2 linked regions of the Daphnia pulex genome follow. The protein of the gene in region 2 binds, or shares a complex with, the protein of the main gene of each other region. Links are inferred from orthologs where the notes say so. Each region holds a gene or a part of one and is shown on either strand. Other genes may lie near its edges.

The links. The genes of interacting proteins can lie anywhere in the genome.
Region 1: COP9 signalosome complex subunit 7b-like (region 2) and COP9 signalosome complex subunit 6-like share a complex: the UniProt entries of both Drosophila melanogaster proteins name them as parts of the CSN complex. The link is inferred for Daphnia pulex from reciprocal best matches to the Drosophila melanogaster genes CSN7 and CSN6.

The regions. Positions count from the first base shown.
Region 1 is NC_060019.1:12,301,322-12,307,022, reverse strand, and holds COP9 signalosome complex subunit 6-like, read right to left. Parts: upstream 1,853-5,701; 5' UTR 1,765-1,852; coding exon 1,611-1,764; intron 1,551-1,610; coding exon 1,422-1,550; intron 1,362-1,421; coding exon 1,047-1,361; intron 981-1,046; coding exon 787-980; intron 720-786; coding exon 576-719; 3' UTR 501-575; downstream 1-500. Other genes in the region: probable transcriptional regulatory protein FMG_0893, read left to right, coding at 1,940-2,086, 2,158-2,170, 2,240-2,486, 2,558-2,694, 2,756-2,982; 60S acidic ribosomal protein P0-like, read right to left, coding at 3,334-3,645, 3,857-4,042, 4,216-4,450, 4,669-4,844, 4,915-4,968. UniProt on the Drosophila melanogaster protein: Component of the COP9 signalosome complex (CSN), a complex involved in various cellular and developmental processes.
Region 2 is NC_060017.1:4,234,732-4,243,087, forward strand, and holds COP9 signalosome complex subunit 7b-like, read left to right. Parts: upstream 1-1,965; 5' UTR 1,966-2,252; intron 2,253-2,324; 5' UTR 2,325-2,353; coding exon 2,354-2,518; intron 2,519-2,577; coding exon 2,578-2,742; intron 2,743-2,844; coding exon 2,845-2,932; intron 2,933-2,994; coding exon 2,995-3,248; intron 3,249-3,313; coding exon 3,314-3,445; 3' UTR 3,446-3,574; downstream 3,575-8,356. Other genes in the region: chloride intracellular channel exl-1-like, read right to left, coding at 1-489, 555-649, 726-810, 879-938, 1,007-1,042; serine/threonine-protein kinase 17B-like, read left to right, coding at 6,116-6,309. UniProt on the Drosophila melanogaster protein: Component of the COP9 signalosome complex (CSN), a complex involved in various cellular and developmental processes.

The DNA.
Region 1 (5,701 bases), on a different chromosome or scaffold from region 2:
CGTTGTAAATCTGTACCTACACATTTTGGCATAATATTATAACACATTTTTCCAGTGTTGTCAAAATGAATTGGAAAAAAAGATTGGAATCTGAATCAAATAATTTTAGATGCCAAAATTTCCTTTTTTCTGTGAGCTCAACTACAATTAATTTAAGTTATATTGGATCACGAATTCATTAAATAATTTTAAAAATTACAAAAAAACTGCCAAACAACGAACGATATTGTTAAGTCGAGTAAATCTTTAAATAACCAACATCTTGGCTAGGACCCATAGTTTCGATGTAAGCTAATCTCCAGTGTATCGGATTTGCCGGATTTGTCAAATCCAACAGACTGCTAATCTCATACTAACACTCTGTATTAACAAAGGACGCCTTAAATTACGAGGCCAATAAACTTAAGAAAAATAATCCATATGGACTTGATATTACACTGCCATGATTAAGCTGACATTTTCAATACACACCTTGGATGGAAATGTAGCTGAAATGGGAATCTTGATCAAAACCAATATGTATTAGGTAGGGCACAAAGCATGTTTCCTTAAATATGTTATACAATGCTCACAATTCAGAAAAAGAGACCACGCATTCGGCGACCCATTATGCCTTGACGGTCGCAAAGTATGTTGAATTTGGTGACAAACTGGTGAAGGTCGTGACATGCTTTGGTAATGGATGCCAAATAGGTTTGCAGCAAGACATCATTGTATTGCTACAAGACAAAAGAAAACAAGATTAGAAAAATCAACCCAATTAACAAAGAGTTAAGATATAATTACGGTGTAATATTCCTCCTGGAAAATTTCAGAGTTGAGGACAGGTAACCTGTGGGTCAGAGATTTAGCTTCGCGTAAGACTTCGTGAGACTTTGGAACCTCTCCTCTCTCCATGGCTCGAATGTATTCTAATATCAATCGCACTCGGTTGGCAAGCATTTTTACTGCGTTGTGTTGGGCTTGCAATTGTTCCGCCACTGTTTAAAAAAGAAAAGTATGTCCATGACAGTTTCATAAGGATAATGTTAATGAATTAAAATTACCTTGAGAACTTTCAGCTGAATCACCAGAAGCCATTCTAGCAACATGATCAACTCCAATTCTTTCTGCCTCTTCTGTGGCCAAAGTATAAGTCAATTCAACAAAGAGCATAGTTGCCTCTCCATTGACAAGATCAATTACAGATTCATACATTGTTACAGGGAGGTCAGCATTTCGTGTAAAAGGATTAAGCTTCAAAATTACAGGACTTTCGTTAATCTCACATATTTGTTTGTGGACATGAATGTCAGATTCATTGGGAGCATCTCCAGTGGTATACCAGCCAAGGAAATCCATATCACTAAACACTTGCTTGACTAAAGATAAAAAGAAATTATGAAGAACATTTAATAAGTAAAGAATGGGAAATTTCATACATTGCTCCTCTTTTGTGTTGTAGTAATCTCGGTCAATTACCACATTCTCAATAACAGTGAAAACCAGTTCAAAGGAATTCATGATTTCTAGGCTTCTTCCTTTCTGCTTTCCAATGAGTGCACCAATCACTATGAAATTGTGTATACAAAATAAATAAAGAGTTAAAATGTACATCACATAAACATTACCTTGCTGTGCTTTCCCTTCCTGGGCTCTCACTCGAGTCCAATGTTCAGATATATTCATCACAACCAAGGGATGCAATAAAACTGATATACTTCCTGTCGCCCCCGATGAAGCCATTACATGGTTAACATTCTGATTATTCTCTTCAGTCTCCATTGTTTTATTCAAGAAAATCGAATATCAGGAAGTGATCTGCGTTTGAAAAGAAGAAGTTGAAAGCGTAGCAGTCGACGTTGTAGCGAGACTAAAACAGCAGACGAAAAGATATTTACCGGAACTGCATTTTGTTTTCTTTTTATAATAATTCAAAAAATATTAACAATAATTTATCATGTTTCAAAAGATTCGTTTGGGTATTTTGATTCCGCTCTCAAGAAACATGGCTGGGCATAGTAAATGGGCCAACATCAAACATGTGAAGGGTGCAAAGGATGCTGAAAGAGCAACTTTACATCTAAGAATTTTTCGTCAAATTAGGGTATTTTGAATTTGTGTTCTCATTATTAGTGTAACTATAACATTTTCTTGAATTTCAATCACAACAATCAGGCAGCTATTAAAGGTTTGTATACTGAGTATTAATTTTTGGTTGAAACAAAGTTTAGCATTAACATACAATTCTTTGTTGCAGAACATGGCTCGGCAGATCCAAAACAAAATATAAAACTTAGTCATCTTGTAGATCAAGCAAGGCATCATAATGTGCCCTCTGAAAAGTTGAAACATATTCTAAAGAATGCTGATCAGTCTACTGAGGATTTAAAACCTTATGTTATGGAAGTAAGAGGACCAGTGGGAACCTTTTTCGTGGTAGAAGTTCTCACTCCTAGTTATTTGAAAGCAAGACAAGGCATCAATACAATCAACAGGAAATTCAAGTAAGTTTAAAATTACTGGTAAATGTAGTGTATGAATTGACTTATAAGTAATAATAATCCTTTCTTGTCAGTGCATCATGGGCAGAAGGAGTTTCAAACAATCTGTTTAACCATCAAGGATTAATCAAGGTGTCACCATTATCTATTGGCCAAACTATTGAGCAAGTACTTGACGATGCTATTAACGTCGGGGCGGAAGATGTAACAGGTATCATTCAAGTGAAATATATACATTATGCAATTATCCGAAATTCTGTGGTAATTTCTAGCTGATGAAGATGGCAAGTTTGTCTTCACATGCAGCCCAAGGGATTTTTTGAATGTCAAGAGATCTGTTAGTCAGCTTGGCTATTGCATAATAGAATCTGACTTGCTCTATATCCCACGAAATAGAGTTCAGATTGAATCCGAAGAAGACTTAGCATTAGTTTCTAAGCTCTATAGTAAGTTGGAAGAAGAGCCCGATGTTGTTAAAATTCATGATAACATTGAATGAGATATTTAATACATATTGTAAATTCTTATATTTTGCGGTTTGAATAAATTAATGCAAAGTGCAATTGAGTATGCGTCCGAATTACTTTTCATTTATTACATCCACCCAAACGCCGCGTACCCGCTTCAAGAAATTATGTCAATTAATGCAGAGGAAACTTGAACCTTATTAATGAAAGAATCGTTCAAGACAAACTGGGATATCAAAAGAATAAGTTAAGCACGAATCATTCCGTTAATCGTCAGTTTATTACAGTTCATAAAAGTATCCGCGGTACATGAGTCAAAGCTCACCATGTAATAACATTTCATCAACTGTAAACAGAACTGGATCAAAATCTGACAAGAGCGTCTAGTCGAAGAGACCGAAACCCATATCATCATCCTCTTCTTCGGATTCTTCTTTCTTTTCCTCCTTCTTGGGAGCAGCAGCAGCAGCGGCGGCCGGGGCGGCGGAAGCAGCAGGAGCAGCAGCAGCGGCGGCAGCAACGAACTTGCTGGGATCCTTCAAGAACTCCTTAACCGTCATGGCTTCTTTGAACTCGATGTTGGTTGCGGCAGCAACAGCCAACAAGTTCTTGAATCCATTGATCAACGAGTGAGGGGCAGAGGCCAAAGTTGGGTAACCAATGCGAAGAGAAACGCTAGCCACGTTACGAACACCCTATGAACATGTAACCGATTAGTCAACTATTCTATTACGAACTTATTCATAATTGAGTCTTAATTAAATCAGACTGCCGGTAAAGGCATTTTATATCACTGTCCCCGGCCTTTAGAGGGTTCTCCCATTTCTGGGTCTAAAGGTTGTTCCGGGGTCAATCGAAGTTTTTCATCATTTTAACAGTGAAGTAAGATTTTAGAACACAACTAACCTCCAAGAATCGAGTACGAAGAGATTCAGGCTTGATATCCAAGATTTTCGGCTCGAATACAGTTCCAGAGTCATAAACTTGTTGAACCACCAATCCGTAGGTAAACGGAGAGATGTTCAGCATATTCAAGAGGGTTGCAGCTGAAGCATCAACACGCTCACCCTCCTTGATGACGTTAACGGTCGTCTATAAAAGAAAGATAAAATTTAATCTCCAGAAATCCTAAGATAAACTAGCATTAGTAAAAAAGAGCTCAGTTAAACAAATTTCAACACGCCACTCTATGGCGATTCAGGAGAACGAAAGTTTAAAATAACATCATCGCAATCTGTTAGTTGAGAATTTAGTGATTCACTTACGATAATTTCAATTGTACCCTTGGAAATCTTGGTTGGGATGGACAAAGCCTGGAAGAAAGAAGTCTTCTCAGGTCCGAGACCTGTGTTCTGGGGCTCGATGTCAACAGGCATAGGAGCCAAAGCACCAGCACGAGCGGGAGCTCGAACTCGGTTCTCAGTCAACCTGTCCCTTACGTCCACCAGATCGTTCTTGGTGAAGACGAAGCCAACATTTCCCCTGATGTGAGGAAGAAGCCTAAAACAAAATCAAACTTCAATTAAAACTAGAGCAACACAATCTGTAATTGTCAAAAGCAAAGTTCATTCAGACAGCAACTTTGCATTTGTAATCCCCAATCCCTTGACTTGGAGGGTTCTTCCATTTCTGGATCCAAGTTTGACCAAAAGATCATATCTAATTTTCATCATTACATTTGTAAAATTAATTCCCTAATAATAAAAACAAGTCAATACTTCTCCAATGCTGGGTTGTTCTCCAGATGTCCGCGAATGGCTTTGCGGATCATGGTGTTTTTGCCCATGAGAACGACGGCATGATCTCTCAATGAGCGACGGATCTGCTGCAATTGCTTAGATCCGACATTGTCTGCTCCGACAATGAAGCACTTGGGATATTCATCCAGAAGTTGCTAAAGAGAAGAAAACAGTCAAAACAAGCCAACTTGAACATGAAAATACAGTCTACAGAATGAAACTTACAACTAGTTTAACGAAATAGCTAGCTTTCCATGATGTCTTGTCCTCCCTGCCCATCTTGATTGTGGGTTACAAGGAACTCCTAAGGTGATTTAAGGACTATAGAAATGAAAAAAAAAGACTTGCTATGAGTCCACATCGCGATGCTGTCGAAAATGTTTCGAAGTATTATAGTAGAAAAGTTTTAAGAAATTTCTGAATAACATAGACCAGAGAATGTACAATGAACAAAACAGTGCGAAAATAATGGGAAATAGGCAAGATGTCAGAGATTTCATGAGATGAATTTAGATACAAAATGCAAGAGAAACTTACCAAGGGTCAAACCGGTACTGAAGTGAAATGTGGAAGATAGGCAAGGAAGAAAAGCTGAATGAGATGCATGTTGCCAGTTTTACAAAAATAACTAGAATTTCCATCAGAAATTGATCAAAATTAACCATAGTCAATAATCTTATCATATCATATTTATGATGTATTTTAGTGAGTAAAAATATAATGGAAAACGCAAGAATATTTTGAAGATATGTGTTCTATTTTTACTTCCATTATTCTAGTTCTGAACAGAACACCAGAGCCATCACTCATCAGTCATTGGAACCCATTGATTTCAATTCTTGTATTCTTGACTAAACGACTTCAAACAGATAATTATTTTTATGTAGTCTCATTAATTTTGAACAATATTCATTAGTTCTACTTACCTACTTTTAATTGAGTTAACCGCTGATTGATTACAAAAGGAAAAAGAAGAAAAACAGTTATACACTAGGTGTCTCTGTCTCTCAGA
Region 2 (8,356 bases):
TCATTCGAGATTTACCAGAGCTGCAACTGCGGGAACATCGAATGAATGTTTTGGCGGTTCCTGAATTAGTTTTTTGTGTTCATCGTAAGCCATTTGACCTAGTTGCGGCCGGTCCAGCCAGTGCAGCACAATTTCTTGATCAGACGGACAAGTTTGCACAAACACATCAGAATTGTACGCAGCAAATAAATACGCCCAGATGTGAGTAAGGCTAATGGGTATAAAGAAATTCTTTAAAGCAGCACTAGCAACTCGTATATGTTGAAGTTTCGGCAGGAATTCGCAGTCTAGATGCGTTAAATTATTCCCGCATAAGAATATGCTTCCTCGTTGACCGAGAAAAGTGTTCAACACTTGAAGCTCATTTTCAAGATGTGTGGAGTCTTTTGAAATCTGCTTAATGTAAAAACAGAAGCGCGAGAACACATTTTTGATCGCAGAATCAGCTTTCGGGTTGTCGTACAGTAGACGGTTGTCCGGAAATTTGTTCTGTAAATCAAATTTATAAAATTCGTCTTTGAGTGTACCTAGTAAATTCCAACTAATACGATTACCTCCAAATAAGAAACGATATCATCGATGTTGTCAATCACTTGGTCTCCATCTTCAAGGGACGGAACACGGCGCAATCCGCGTTGATGAAAAATTTCTTTGGAAAAAAGTTATACATTTATTTTTAGTCCATAAAAGTTTATGCGAATTTATCCCAACTACGGATCGTGTACCTGGTGGTTTAGCTAAATTTACGGTGACGGATCTGAAGTGGAAGGGATGCTGTAGAGATTTCGTCAATACTACCATGAAGGCTCTCTGTAATAATTGTAATAAAATCTTGTTAACGTAATCCAGATCCCCATTTAACTAAGAAATCAACGAACCTGACAAAATGGACAGGCTCCGTAGCGCTTTCCGTCTGCTCCCGCCTTGACGTACAACACCTAGCAACAAAAAATGACGTCATCGGAAAATAAAAAATGAAGCAAACTGGTAAAAACAGAACCCTTACCATCATTTGTTGTGAACTTTGAACATCTAAACTCATTTTTTCCGCTGCGCTCAAAATTTCAGATTTATTTACAAGGGAAGTCACTCTTGTATTTACCAAGTACGCAGACGTAAAGCACCCGTAAGGAAATATGAAATAGTCTGGCAGCTGCTGTACAGCCGCGATGAGAAACTCACACTTCTAAAACCCGAATAAGCCAAAATTTAACCAACAGTCTCCAGCAGGTTTATTTTTGGCCGCCCTAAACATGCACACTAACTAAATGAACCGTTTTCTAATATCAGCAGTCAGCACAATGTCGAAGTAGAACCAATAAAGAAGCAAAGATACGGGTGTTGAAGCTTGCGACACTGTCTGAAATTCGCAGTGGTGAACACAAGAAGAATGCTCGGCACCAAAAACACGAGACTAAAGGCTCTATCTGCCCATATACTAGCAGCTAACCGACGCTCAACATGAAATAAGCCCGAGGGACCACAACAAATGCTGTTTCCCAGTTCTTTTTTTATCTAAAAACTTTCACTCACTTCTCTTCCTAACCATCCATCCCCCCTCTCTCTTTTGCCATCCGCAACCCGCAAGTCTTTTTTCGGCTTTCAAGTCGGAATTGTTTTTTCACATGCTGTCATTTGTGCTGGTTTGACTCGACCTTTTTCATGTTATTGTTTATTGTACTTTTTTTGCTTTCAACCCACAGCCGAAATATGTGAATAATTAGTTCATCCGTTGAGGGGGGGGGGATGGGGTGCGGAAGGCGGAATTGACTGGTAAAGTGCGAGATTGAGGTGCGGATTCTCCGCACTTTACTTATTCTCCCCATCCGGACACTTTTGTAAAAGTTTGAATTTTTTAAAGAATTAATTATAGTATTTCTGACCTGATCTAAAGCAACCAAACCTAACCAGCTCTGTTTTAACTATTATCGCACAATCAAAAGTGACAATGTTGCTAAACTTACTAAACACAGCTTACTACAACATTAAGTCACATTATAAAATGAAACTAAAGTTATTTGTACTGCTGAATAGTGAATACGATTAATTTTTATTTTTGCGCCCTAGTAGTTTTGAACTATTTGAAATGCATTCCCCATTCCCATTGTTTCTGTTTCCGCGCAACCATATTTTAGAAGCTCCGAATAAGTTGCGCGGACTGCTTACAGACTACAGTGAATCTCATTCTTCTATACAATATACCTTGGCTATGCTATCAGACGTTGTAGTAGGTTATTAAAGAAGATCTTTTGGTAAATACAGCTTACATTTTATCATTTTTTTCCGCAAATGTAAGAATAACTGTCTCATTTCTGGTTCAATAGTCATTTATGCGAAAATTGTGGTGCCGAATATGACGACTGACACTAAACCTACCAGTTTCAACCCCCTTGAACAGTTTGTACTGTTAGCAAAGTCGGCTAAAGGGGCTGCAGCTGTTGAATTAGTAAAGCAGGCTTTAGAAGCTCCTGGCGTTTATGTGTTTGGTGAACTACTCGACATGCCCAATATTACAGAGGTGAATTTTTTTTATGTTTAATCGATGAAATTTTCTCATTTATGCATATTTTTTTCTAGCTTCAAACTGATCAATTTCAACCTTACTACAATTTGCTGAAATTATTTGCCTTTGGAACATACAGACAATATCTTGAAAACAGTAGTTCATTGCCCGAGCTAACACCATTTCAGCAGCAGAAACTGAGACACTTAACAATTGTGACATTATCTGAAACCAACAAAGTGAGTATTGCTATCATTGTTGCATGCAGTCATCAATGGCATCTTAAGTTAAAGTTCACAGCTACTGTAGTTTGTTTTTATTAATTGTTGTTTCAATTTTAGTGCATTCCATATGAAGTGTTGGTCCAACAACTTGATATGAAGAATCTCAGAGAACTTGAAGATCTTGTCATTGAAGCCATCTATGGAGGTTTGCCACCAAAATTATTAATTAATACATCTTGATTTTATCATCAACAATTATTCTTTCAGACGTTATTCATGGGAAATTAGACCAGCGTAACGGTCGTTTGGAAGTTGATTTTGCAATTGGTCGAGATGCTCAAGTCAAAGACATTGGCCGAATCATTCAAACTTTGAACGATTGGTGTGAAGCATGTGATGCAATTCTCGGAGCCGTTGAAACCCAAGTCATGAATGCAAATTGTGAAAAGGAAAAGCATATCAAGCATCGTGTCGCTATCGAGGAGGAAGTTTTGAATATTAAAAAAACCTTGAAATCCCAAGTATATCTAGCACTACAATTATTTGAAATTCTTAAAACTAAATCTGAATGCTTGAAACTTGACAGATCCAGGAAAGCGATGATATATCTCTTACTGGTGAAACGCGCAATGAAATGTTAGGTGACAAAGGTAAGAAGCTTGCCAAGGGAAAAGGATTGAAGACCAATGTTCCAAATAAGTTTTGGAATAAATCCTGAAAATTTGTAATTACTCCTTAATGTTTGTATTCACTTATCCCTGAAAGCATTGGACTTGATTCACCCATGGTATTGTTGTCTCAAAGAGTGTTCGCAATGAAATAAATAAAGAAAATTTCTTTAACTGCACTTGCTGACGAGCATTGATATTCATCATCCGCCAAGGCCAATGTCTATTTCTAGGAACTCGGAACTTGGCGGTTTTTCTTGTTCAAATTTTAGGTAGCTGTACAAGCATTTTAAATGCAGTAAAGAGATTCAGTCATGAAACCAAATAACAGTTGTGTACATATCTTCACGCTATTTTCAAATGGAAAACAAAAAAGCTTGGATTGCGCAACAATTTCGTCACAGTATTTTCATTTGTTCCAGACGCTGACTTTGAGCTTTGAAGTACCGTTCTGCCATGTAGGTAACTTTCTCGATGTATGTAATCCCTTTTGTGATCTCTTCCCCTATTCTGATGACCAGCAGACTTTTCTCTTCTAACCCTGTGATGTCACATGCTTTTTGGCTTAGAGTAGCGCAATTCACGCACGCATCGTTGAACGCAATCAATTTAGATGCGCTACCTACTATTCGTACTACTGGATGAGTACGGTAGAGGGCTCTCTCAGTTTTTAGATTTGTATTGCCGCTGTAGTCCCGAAGCACACGAAGGGTGCGTCCGTTTTGTAATCATCGAGTCATTTGATCACGTGATCTGTACAACAACCAGTTACCAACGAGATTTTTATTTCAGTAAGTTATCAAATTATCGGAGTTTGGTGTTTTGCGGTGCTGCCAAGTTGTGGTTTCTTCGTAAGATGACGTCTTTTTCAAACACAGCACTTTTTCCCCCTTAACCATATCAACAGATGCATATGCAGAATCCTAAATGAAACCTTAATAAAAAAAAATAACAAATGCGCGATTCTCTAAAGCCACTAAAATCTGTTGTCTTAATTTCGGTTAATCTAATGTTAGAGTATTTCAAATACTATTGGCGAGGGCTCAAATTAGTTTAAATAGGTTTAAAAAGTGTTTTCGCGCATTTAATAATTGTTTGAATAATTTTTGGCATCATATGCAATATGTTACAATAAAAGGAACGAGTTTGGGAATGAAACAATGAGTTACATTCAGCTAAAAATTTCCGGCAGCTATACTAACTCGACCGGACGACCCGTCTAATACAACATCAAATTTGGTCAAAAAACAAAAGAGAAAAACTACTTCGATCCGACTCTCCGAGTGAGAATATAGACGCACCCCCGGGGTGGTAAGAATTATAAAATGGCAACGCGGGTCACGCAGGAAGAATGAAAGATTGCCTTTGACGGTTTGAGGGTGGTGGCGGGTGATTGCATTTCGACAGAACACACAGAGGGTCGTACCGCTTTATGGTCTTGCAGCCTGATTTGACGTGGATGTAACATTAGCACTTTGAAAATAGTCATAGCATTCAGAGAGCTGTGCAGACGCTCGTCTAACGCCATATCGAGTCTCTCCATATATATATTTGCAGTTGTGTGGCGCAACCTTAAAAGCGACTTTTTGTAATTCTTCGAGGCCAAATGGGTGTTACTTAGAAACGACTTTTGCCCTTTGCAGTCGACTTGCAAGTACGTCAGTCGTCGGCGACTCGAGTTCCTTTTATGGGAAGAATACACTGCAATAGCCATACATAGACTTGGGGGCCATACAAATGCTGGCTGCTGGCTTGCTCACTTTTTCCTAAAACGAAGGAAATGGCAACACACCGACCATATTTGCAGATTCTTCCATCAGTTCCATGTTATTTTTTCTTTTCCCATTTTCTGATTTAATCTTTGAGTTTAGATTTTCTCAGTTCAAGAGCTTGGCGAATAATGTGCGAGTTGCAGAATGATCAACTGTTATTATTTTTTCATTTAAACATATTTGGAACTTTGAATTTTCTAGAGATAAAATATTTATTTTTACAATTTTTTGGTACGAATTCAAAAATCCTTGGATCTGAAATCAAGCCTATGCATAGCATCCATATATAGAAATTCAAAATATCGATATTCAAATCAAGTTGAAAATTGCGCTTCCATTCTCCCTTGATTCCAACAATACTCGTTGCTTCCCAGTCCACCGTGTATTACCGCCGTCAAAACGGCAAAAGCGGCATTTCAATACCTTATTTGGCGTAAGACTGGGGCTGTTAAGGGCGGAGCTTGAGACTGAGCCCGCTAGAGGAACGACGCTTGCACTGCTACCAACGGAGAGCAGACCACTCTCGAGTTGCAATCTGAACGGTTTTATTGAAAGTTTCGGTGATTTTTTTTTATCTGACAAATTCAGGCGATTCTGAATTTGAAATACAAACTCATGTGGATTTTTGCTTCGAAATTTGTGGCCTAAGAAACTGTTGTTTTTTTCCCGAATTCCATACGGATTACGAAGCATGGCCCACTTGATCTACAGCTCAACTTTCGGATCAATAAAAACTGTTTTTCACTAGATTGGTTGTTGAACATCAGTTTCATTACTGTGATCTAATGCTCCAAAGATTCTAAGTGCTTGAATTCCCAACCAAGAGTTATTTTCCAAGTGCGAGTAGAAGAAACAGTGAAAACAAGTGTTGGGAGCCACCAAGCCTGTTTGTGCCAGTTAATTTTTTCTCACTTGGAGAATTGAAAAGTAAAACACAATAAAAACAAAATGGTGGGTGGAAGTGAAGTCCAAAGTGGATCCGTTGAAGATATGGCATTGGAAGAACTGCAAGCATTAATACCATCTTTAACCATAAGCTCGATGCCTGGATTGTTGACATTATGTCCATCTAGAGCTGAAGTGTTGGTAGCGAAAGAGCCACTCCATCAACTGTACACAGTGGAAAGTCATCCTTTTGCCAGGTAAACCATGTTGGCTGTTTGTAAACTTTGTGTTTTATTTTGATGTGTGAGAAGTTGAGACAAATAATGCTGCTGGGGATCCCAGTGAATTTTTGCATTTTTTAAAACTAAAGTTAGTGTGACATGCGACCTAAAATCCCGTATACAGTTGCTCGTTAGAGTTTTGATGCTGCTAGCTTCAGCAACTTTCACGCTGGCTAGTTTATGCAACGTACGTATTTTGAAACACTTGACTGGGAAAGTTGCGTGAACGTTGGTGGAAAGTGGCAAAGTGAATGGATCTTTGACCAATGAGATAGTGTGTTGTTTACATATTGCACAACTGCGTCCATGATAAAAATCTCACCCGTCAGGTTTGTTCCGCTTGTTTAATGCGCAACGGTCGAAAACTCGTACGTTACCAAAAAAATAAAAACAATACAAATTATTGTTGACACAAGTGTTGAAATCAATCTTTTGAAAACCCACATCCTTTGGCGATCAGTATCAGATAACCTTTCGTTCGTAATCCTCCATTTTTATTCGCAGTTCACTTTCGTGATAAGAACATAAATTGGGAAGATGTCAGAGAAATAATTAGGTAGCCTTTTAAAATCATTTTTTCTTACACTCGTTAGTATTTCAGGAAGACATAATGAAGCAAGCTATTGACTTTTTGTTAAACGTTAACGTAACATTTTATGACTCTGTTTTATTCAAGAACTTTGCTCGAGAGTGAAATCGATATTTCAGCCTTTTCGTGGCCCTGGTATGTCGGCCACGTCTCGTGTTTGCTGTGTAAAATATTTTTTAACGTCGCCTTAAAAATGTCTGTAGAGCGTCTTGTGTAAATTTCGAATAGTTTCCTTTTTTTCAAGTCAATTTGTTTTTTATTTGAAGCTATGAAAGACGGATGATGTCAACCAGCGGTCAGTCTTATTTCGTCGTGTTGGCGAAAATACAAGATTGTACACGAACCAACTTTTTACGGAGACATTTTTCTTTCTTAGTAGGCTAGGGGTGAATGGGAAAGTGTATTGGCTCATATGGTTAGTCGTCATAGAAGCAACTTTCTGTTACACTAGCTGCACTTAATTGTGGGAAGATAGCTTTTTTTTTACTCAACACCTTGTGCTTGCTTAAGAAATCAGTATTGTTATGAATAGAGTTTCATTAGATATTGTATTTCTTGGTCTGGTGAATTTTTATCAAATACGTTGAGCATGGGAAATTTGTTGTCTAGACTCCAGTATTGAACAGGGAATCTGTTATTTATATCTTGAGAATTAAGAAATAATGTTATAGATTTTGGCTGGTGTTTTTAAAAATAGAAAGTGGAATAGATTTCTGAAATTGCTGTGGAGCTTGACCGAAAATTATGATTCTCTTCTTATTATAACTGGAGAAACATGATTGAGTTGCCGTCTATACGCAGCTGTAAGGGTGTGACTAGAGATTCAGGAAAACTTTTATTTGGGTCAGACATCTTACAACAGCCCAAAGCTTCATATCTCGTTTGAGTCGTAATGCAACTCCTCTTCCAGTTTCTTGTCTGCAATTTCTTAAACAAAATGAAATCGATAAATGCATTGGAATGCAAGGGTGACTAACTAAAATTTTATTTCTAGTCCTTCCGTCATAGTTTTTCTAGTTGTTCAATTCGTTATGTTGTGGAACTGCCAACTCATCATGAATGTCTAGCAATTAGATTTATGTGGTGTTGATTTAAATGTAGATTTGTCCACGTAACATTTTAGTTTGAATCATCATTCCTTGAGTTGTTTTTTGTCTTTTTTTGGCTAGAGAAATGTTGAGAATGGGAATAAGAGTGGCTCGACCAAGTCAAACGTGTATCATCTGCGCATTTGAACGTTTTCAGTTTCCTAATATAGTCAAGTCTCGAGTGTATCTCGATTCCCCTCTACCTTTCCGTCTTCATTGCTGTGTCTAGTTTGGCCATGTAGTCTTGGCCAAGTGGAAAACACAGTGGACATTCCAATGTCCCTTTGGCGACACGATGAGCAGGATCTACCGATTTGGTAACCCGTCACCGATTCCCCATCGAAAA